Linked DNA regions of Saccharomyces cerevisiae S288C. The gene in region 1 interacts genetically with each later gene. Each region holds a gene or a part of one and is shown on either strand. Other genes may lie near its edges.

Evidence for each region.
Region 2: mutations in MVD1 (region 1) and ERG11 impair growth when combined (synthetic growth defect), as found in Saccharomyces cerevisiae (2 studies listed by BioGRID, with this or other methods).

The regions. Positions count from the first base shown.
Region 1 is NC_001146.8:700,284-703,914, reverse strand, and holds MVD1 (diphosphomevalonate decarboxylase MVD1), read right to left. Parts: upstream 2,021-3,631; coding exon 830-2,020; downstream 1-829. Other genes in the region: AGA1 (Aga1p), read right to left, coding at 1-216; COQ2 (4-hydroxybenzoate octaprenyltransferase), read left to right, coding at 2,256-3,374; MRX15 (Mrx15p), read right to left, coding at 3,455-3,631. UniProt on the Saccharomyces cerevisiae protein: Diphosphomevalonate decarboxylase; part of the second module of ergosterol biosynthesis pathway that includes the middle steps of the pathway. MVD1/ERG19 converts diphosphomevalonate into isopentenyl diphosphate.
Region 2 is NC_001140.6:119,374-123,447, reverse strand, and holds ERG11 (sterol 14-demethylase), read left to right. Parts: upstream 1-1,764; coding exon 1,765-3,357; downstream 3,358-4,074. Other genes in the region: superoxide dismutase SOD2, read left to right, coding at 1-559; YHR007C-A (uncharacterized protein), read left to right, coding at 683-898; STP2 (Stp2p), read right to left, coding at 4,009-4,074. UniProt on the Saccharomyces cerevisiae protein: Sterol 14alpha-demethylase that plays a critical role in the third module of ergosterol biosynthesis pathway, being ergosterol the major sterol component in fungal membranes that participates in a variety of functions.

The DNA.
Region 1 (3,631 bases):
TGGACACCAAGTCGTATACAATGTCGTAGTGCCAGCTTGAACGATAGTGGATGTGGAGACTAGCGCGGGTGAAACTGTAGTTGTAACAACCCCATTTGCATCGTTTGTCTTGGTTATCGTCACTAGAATCGTTTCTGGATCAGATGCCAAGGCAATATTAGTTAATCCCAACAATATTGTGAACAGGTAGGTAAAATGAGCGAAAGATAATGTCATCTGAAATTTTTTGGTTTTTTTAGCTTTTATTGTTAATGCTCGCCGTTTTTCAAAGATGAACGTAAATACTGGAAAAGTTCACGATAATTATTGATGATAGATCATTATTCTGCGCTTATATACGTTTTAATTGCTTGCTGGGAACTGCTTATTTGCGATAGTCGCTTGTTTTAAGTCATTACTATGTTTTAATATTGTTTCAGAAAATTATGTTACAGCCGCGTTTTGACTTGAAACGTGCAATATCCAAAAAGAGACTTTACAATTGAAAGCTAACCTAAAATTTGAGAAGATATGTGACAGGTACCCTAAATGTAGATTGGGTGGCTGCTGAGATCTTTAAGTATGAAACGGGTGGACGTACTTGTGCTAAGTGGTGCTGTTAGACAGCTACGAATAAGGAAATTCCGAAGCATGTAGGGAGGTCATGATATGAAAAAGCAAAAGAGTAGGCATCAAAAAGTTTCTCATTCAAGTGGTAACTGCTGTTAAAATTAAGATATTTATAAATTGAAGCTTGGTCGTTCCGACCAATACCGTAGGGAAACGTAAATTAGCTATTGTAAAAAAAGGAAAAGAAAAGAAAAGAAAAATGTTACATATCGAATTGATCTTATTCCTTTGGTAGACCAGTCTTTGCGTCAATCAAAGATTCGTTTGTTTCTTGTGGGCCTGAACCGACTTGAGTTAAAATCACTCTGGCAACATCCTTTTGCAACTCAAGATCCAATTCACGTGCAGTAAAGTTAGATGATTCAAATTGATGGTTGAAAGCCTCAAGCTGCTCAGTAGTAAATTTCTTGTCCCATCCAGGAACAGAGCCAAACAATTTATAGATAAATGCAAAGAGTTTCGACTCATTTTCAGCTAAGTAGTACAACACAGCATTTGGACCTGCATCAAACGTGTATGCAACGATTGTTTCTCCGTAAAACTGATTAATGGTGTGGCACCAACTGATGATACGCTTGGAAGTGTCATTCATGTAGAATATTGGAGGGAAAGAGTCCAAACATGTGGCATGGAAAGAGTTGGAATCCATCATTGTTTCCTTTGCAAAGGTGGCGAAATCTTTTTCAACAATGGCTTTACGCATGACTTCAAATCTCTTTGGTACGACATGTTCAATTCTTTCTTTAAATAGTTCGGAGGTTGCCACGGTCAATTGCATACCCTGAGTGGAACTCACATCCTTTTTAATATCGCTGACAACTAGGACACAAGCTTTCATCTGAGGCCAGTCAGAGCTGTCTGCGATTTGTACTGCCATGGAATCATGACCATCTTCAGCTTTTCCCATTTCCCAGGCCACGTATCCGCCAAACAACGATCTACAAGCTGAACCAGACCCCTTTCTTGCTATTCTAGATATTTCTGAAGTTGACTGTGGTAATTGGTATAACTTAGCAATTGCAGAGACCAATGCAGCAAAGCCAGCAGCGGAGGAAGCTAAACCAGCTGCTGTAGGAAAGTTATTTTCGGAGACAATGTGGAGTTTCCATTGAGATAATGTGGGCAATGAGGCGTCCTTCGATTCCATTTCCTTTCTTAATTGGCGTAGGTCGCGCAGACAATTTTGAGTTCTTTCATTGTCGATGCTGTGTGGTTCTCCATTTAACCACAAAGTGTCGCGTTCAAACTCAGGTGCAGTAGCCGCAGAGGTCAACGTTCTGAGGTCATCTTGCGATAAAGTCACTGATATGGACGAATTGGTGGGCAGATTCAACTTCGTGTCCCTTTTCCCCCAATACTTAAGGGTTGCGATGTTGACGGGTGCGGTAACGGATGCTGTGTAAACGGTCATTGTGCTGGTGCTCACTGTCTGGGAATTTTCAATCTTGCATCACCATTACCAGCACGATGGATGCTCTTTATATATCAATCTTCGAGAAAAGGCTAAACGAGCCATTTCGGCGATTTCGGCATCGTGGAAAAGTTTCACAAGAATCAGGCCAAAATTAAAAGTAAGGTTATCAGAAGGGCGGAGTATACTATAGATTACAGTAGAAATAACTGTCGTAGAATAACAGTGTCAACTAATGTTTATTTGGCAGAGAAAGAGTATTTTACTAGGGAGGTCCATTCTGGGCAGCGGCCGAGTTACCGTTGCTGGAATCATTGGAAGCAGCAGAAAGAGATATACGTCTTCTTCCTCCTCCTCCTCCTCCCCTTCCTCGAAAGAATCAGCACCTGTGTTTACGTCGAAAGAGTTGGAAGTTGCAAGAAAGGAAAGATTGGATGGACTGGGACCGTTCGTGTCTCGGCTGCCTAAGAAATGGATACCGTATGCGGAGCTGATGAGGCTAGAGAAACCCGTGGGCACGTGGCTGTTATATTTGCCCTGCAGTTGGTCTATACTTATGGGAGCCATGATGCAAGGTGCTACATTGAGCGCAACAGCTGGTATGTTGGGTATTTTCGGTGTAGGTGCATTGGTAATGAGAGGTGCTGGCTGCACCATCAACGATTTTTTGGATAGAAAGTTGGATCAAAGAGTTATCAGGTCCGTCGAGAGGCCTATCGCCTCTGGTAGAGTGAGCCCCCGTCGGGCGTTAGTATTCTTGGGGGCTCAAACTCTTGTTGGAATGGGCGTTCTATCTTTGCTTCCTGCGCAGTGTTGGTGGCTAGGCCTTGCATCGTTACCTATTGTGTTCACATACCCTTTGTTTAAGCGGTTTACGTACTATCCTCAAGCTGCATTAAGTGCATGTTTCAATTGGGGAGCGTTACTTGGGTTTCCTGCCATGGGTGTAATGAGCTGGCCTACAATGATACCTTTGTACCTGAGCAGTTACTTGTGGTGTATGACTTACGATACTATATACGCACACCAGGATAAAAAGTTTGACATCAAGGCTGGAATCAAGTCTACCGCTTTGGCTTGGGGTCCACGCACAAAGTCTATCATGAAGGCCATGTCCGCGTCTCAAATCGCACTGTTAGCTGTCGCCGGCTTGAACAGTGGGTTGTTATGGGGGCCTGGGTTCATTGGTGGACTAGGAGTCTTCGCTTATAGACTCTTCAGCATGATAAAGAAAGTGGATCTTGACAATCCTAAAAACTGCTGGAAGTATTTTAATGCAAATATCAACACCGGACTTTACTTTACGTACGCCTTGGCAGTCGACTACATCTTGAGACTGTTTGGATTCTTGTAGATATAGCGTGCATATACAAGTGTTTAATTGTTCTTTTATTCGATTATTATTTACATGCATTCTTACGTAGATGTCCGTACCTATTTGGGCTTCACGATATTCTTGATGGATGATCTAGAATTCCCCGAGTGAAATAGGGTCTTGGCAGACGTATGTGAAAGGATCTGAGTTAATATTGACCTGTTCAATAGCTTATTTTCTGCCACACTGTTGAAAAAGCAGTCCAAGATCCTGGCGTCATTCTTCACAACGCTACC
Region 2 (4,074 bases), on another chromosome or scaffold:
CAACGAATTGCATTACACCAAGCACCATCAAACTTATGTGAACGGATTCAACACTGCTGTTGACCAATTCCAAGAACTCTCAGATCTTCTGGCCAAGGAGCCCTCTCCCGCAAACGCAAGAAAAATGATTGCTATCCAACAAAACATCAAGTTCCATGGCGGTGGTTTCACAAACCACTGTCTATTCTGGGAAAACCTGGCTCCAGAGTCGCAGGGCGGTGGTGAACCACCCACCGGCGCTTTGGCAAAGGCAATCGACGAGCAGTTTGGCAGTCTGGACGAGCTGATTAAGTTGACCAACACAAAGCTAGCAGGCGTGCAGGGCTCCGGATGGGCCTTCATTGTGAAAAACCTCTCTAATGGAGGCAAGCTGGACGTTGTTCAAACCTACAACCAGGATACCGTCACAGGCCCACTAGTTCCTCTAGTTGCCATTGACGCCTGGGAACACGCCTACTACTTGCAGTACCAAAACAAGAAAGCCGACTACTTCAAAGCCATTTGGAATGTGGTCAACTGGAAAGAAGCATCCAGAAGATTCGATGCTGGCAAGATCTGAAGAAAGAAAGAAAGAAAATACCTTTTTTTTTCCACTGTGTCGTTTTTATTCTAACTACTCTACTAAATCACACAACCACACTCCCCTATTTAATAATATATTTTACTATTAAAATACATATACATGCATCGTAAAAAAAGAAAAAAAGAAAAGAAAAGAACCGAAAAAGACAATACAACCAACCTTCCTCCACTTTTTCTTTTTCCTTGTTCTCTCTCGCTTCCTACGTTACTCGCGCCTGTGCACTACATTCCCACCAGATTAACTCACCACCAGGCAGAGAACCAATTGTTCTTGTTATTGTTCCAACCGATAATTGTAAAGCCATTAAGGTCGTAAACGACTGCTTACTCAGGGAGATCTCCGAAAACGGCAATTGCTGTGCACCGTGCGACGTTATGATCGCCGCCTGTCCCGTACAGACGAACAATTGCAACAATGGGCGGTTGTTTAGAGAGGTTTTGTGCCGCGCCCGGGAATTACCGGGGGCACAGCAAAATACGAAATTTCCGGCAAAATGTCTCTGTACGAAAATGAGGCCAGCCTTTATTCCCGACTAAGCCGTACGATTATAGTAATGTCACACGAAGTGGATACTATACGAGCAGCGCACATACAATGTGCGTGCAAGATTTGCCGGGTTGGACAATCTTAAAGGCCGATAATCCACGAAAAACGAGACAAACGAAGCGCTGGCCCTAAACGAAACGAAACGAAACTAAGATTTCAAGATAATCGCTTTTCAGATGACAATAGTCTCTTGCAGAACACAATAAGTGTGGTAGGTATCTTGCAGGAGACATCGATTTTATGCCTGAATTTTTTTTTTTTCTTGGTATGAGCACATCCTATTGTGCATCTCCACGAGTTAACGACGTTTACGTACTCGCATGTATTCGAAAAGCCTCTAAAAATTGCCCTCCATGTGTATTCATTATATAAGATAGCGTATTTTCCCTTAGTTTTCTTATTCCCTCTTAATTCTCTCTTTCAATGTCTTTTTTTTTTTCCCTTTTCCTTTTTCCCTTTTCGTTATTGGTAAATTATTTATAAAAAGATTGATAAGCAGTATCGTTCAGCGTGTGTATTTTCGATAGGAAGTAATAATTTTTCATTATATTAATTAATAGTTTCCAGAAAAAATTTTTTTTCCTTCACAATTGCAGCAGGCTTGAATAGAAACAGAACAAACGAGTAATACAAGGATGTCTGCTACCAAGTCAATCGTTGGAGAGGCATTGGAATACGTAAACATTGGTTTAAGTCATTTCTTGGCTTTACCATTGGCCCAAAGAATCTCTTTGATCATAATAATTCCTTTCATTTACAATATTGTATGGCAATTACTATATTCTTTGAGAAAGGACCGTCCACCTCTAGTGTTTTACTGGATTCCATGGGTCGGTAGTGCTGTTGTGTACGGTATGAAGCCATACGAGTTTTTCGAAGAATGTCAAAAGAAATACGGTGATATTTTTTCATTCGTTTTGTTAGGAAGAGTCATGACTGTGTATTTAGGACCAAAGGGTCACGAATTTGTCTTCAACGCTAAGTTGGCAGATGTTTCAGCAGAAGCTGCTTACGCTCATTTGACTACTCCAGTTTTCGGTAAAGGTGTTATTTACGATTGTCCAAATTCTAGATTGATGGAGCAAAAGAAGTTTGTTAAGGGTGCTCTAACCAAAGAAGCCTTCAAGAGCTACGTTCCATTGATTGCTGAAGAAGTGTACAAGTACTTCAGAGACTCCAAAAACTTCCGTTTGAATGAAAGAACTACTGGTACTATTGACGTGATGGTTACTCAACCTGAAATGACTATTTTCACCGCTTCAAGATCATTATTGGGTAAGGAAATGAGAGCAAAATTGGATACCGATTTTGCTTACTTGTACAGTGATTTGGATAAGGGTTTCACTCCAATCAACTTCGTCTTCCCTAACTTACCATTGGAACACTATAGAAAGAGAGATCACGCTCAAAAGGCTATCTCCGGTACTTACATGTCTTTGATTAAGGAAAGAAGAAAGAACAACGACATTCAAGACAGAGATTTGATCGATTCCTTGATGAAGAACTCTACCTACAAGGATGGTGTGAAGATGACTGATCAAGAAATCGCTAACTTGTTAATTGGTGTCTTAATGGGTGGTCAACATACTTCTGCTGCCACTTCTGCTTGGATTTTGTTGCACTTGGCTGAAAGACCAGATGTCCAACAAGAATTGTACGAAGAACAAATGCGTGTTTTGGATGGTGGTAAGAAGGAATTGACCTACGATTTATTACAAGAAATGCCATTGTTGAACCAAACTATTAAGGAAACTCTAAGAATGCACCATCCATTGCACTCTTTGTTCCGTAAGGTTATGAAAGATATGCACGTTCCAAACACTTCTTATGTCATCCCAGCAGGTTATCACGTTTTGGTTTCTCCAGGTTACACTCATTTAAGAGACGAATACTTCCCTAATGCTCACCAATTCAACATTCACCGTTGGAACAAAGATTCTGCCTCCTCTTATTCCGTCGGTGAAGAAGTCGATTACGGTTTCGGTGCCATTTCTAAGGGTGTCAGCTCTCCATACTTACCTTTCGGTGGTGGTAGACACAGATGTATCGGTGAACACTTTGCTTACTGTCAGCTAGGTGTTCTAATGTCCATTTTTATCAGAACATTAAAATGGCATTACCCAGAGGGTAAGACCGTTCCACCTCCTGACTTTACATCTATGGTTACTCTTCCAACCGGTCCAGCCAAGATCATCTGGGAAAAGAGAAATCCAGAACAAAAGATCTAAGGTTTGTAACTGAGAAAAAAAAAAAAAACAGAAAAAGAGAGAAGTTGTACATTCACGTGGGCCTTATCGCCACACTCATCCATCTCCAATGATTTATTTTATTTGCCAGTACGTTTGATATGACATCGAGTTATGTTCTTTAGTTACTTTCAAACTTGGACAACCATCCCGCATTATTTATGAGTGGTATGGTTTCACTTCTTTATTTATAAATATTTATACTACGAAATTATATATAGATTACATTTCTAAAACAACATCAAATATAAGGTTTATTTATGCAACATGCCTACTGGATTAGAAGAGAGAACACACAGCTCACAGGCCAAGCGGAAATAAAGCAGTCTTTTCGCAAACTTGTAAATCTTTTTGCAATTTAAATTAATCAAGAGAGGGCCCAGGAGGAGAGGAGTTTTGGGGAGGGGTCACTGAGGAAGCTCTCTTAAATATGGATTCACTGAAATAAATGTATATAAGATTCATTACTGCTTTTTATAGTGATAAATCCAAATGATGAGTGAATTGAACCATCCTTAGTATCCATTGTTTTATAAAGCACCGCTAAAAATAATATATTGCTACAAAAATGATATAATAATAATATTACGTAAAATACCTGAAACCGCCATAAAAATAATACCTGAATTAACCTTAAAATTCTATCCCATAAGCTTTTTTGTAAAGGGCCAGATAATCTTGAGTCTCCTTCAAATGATT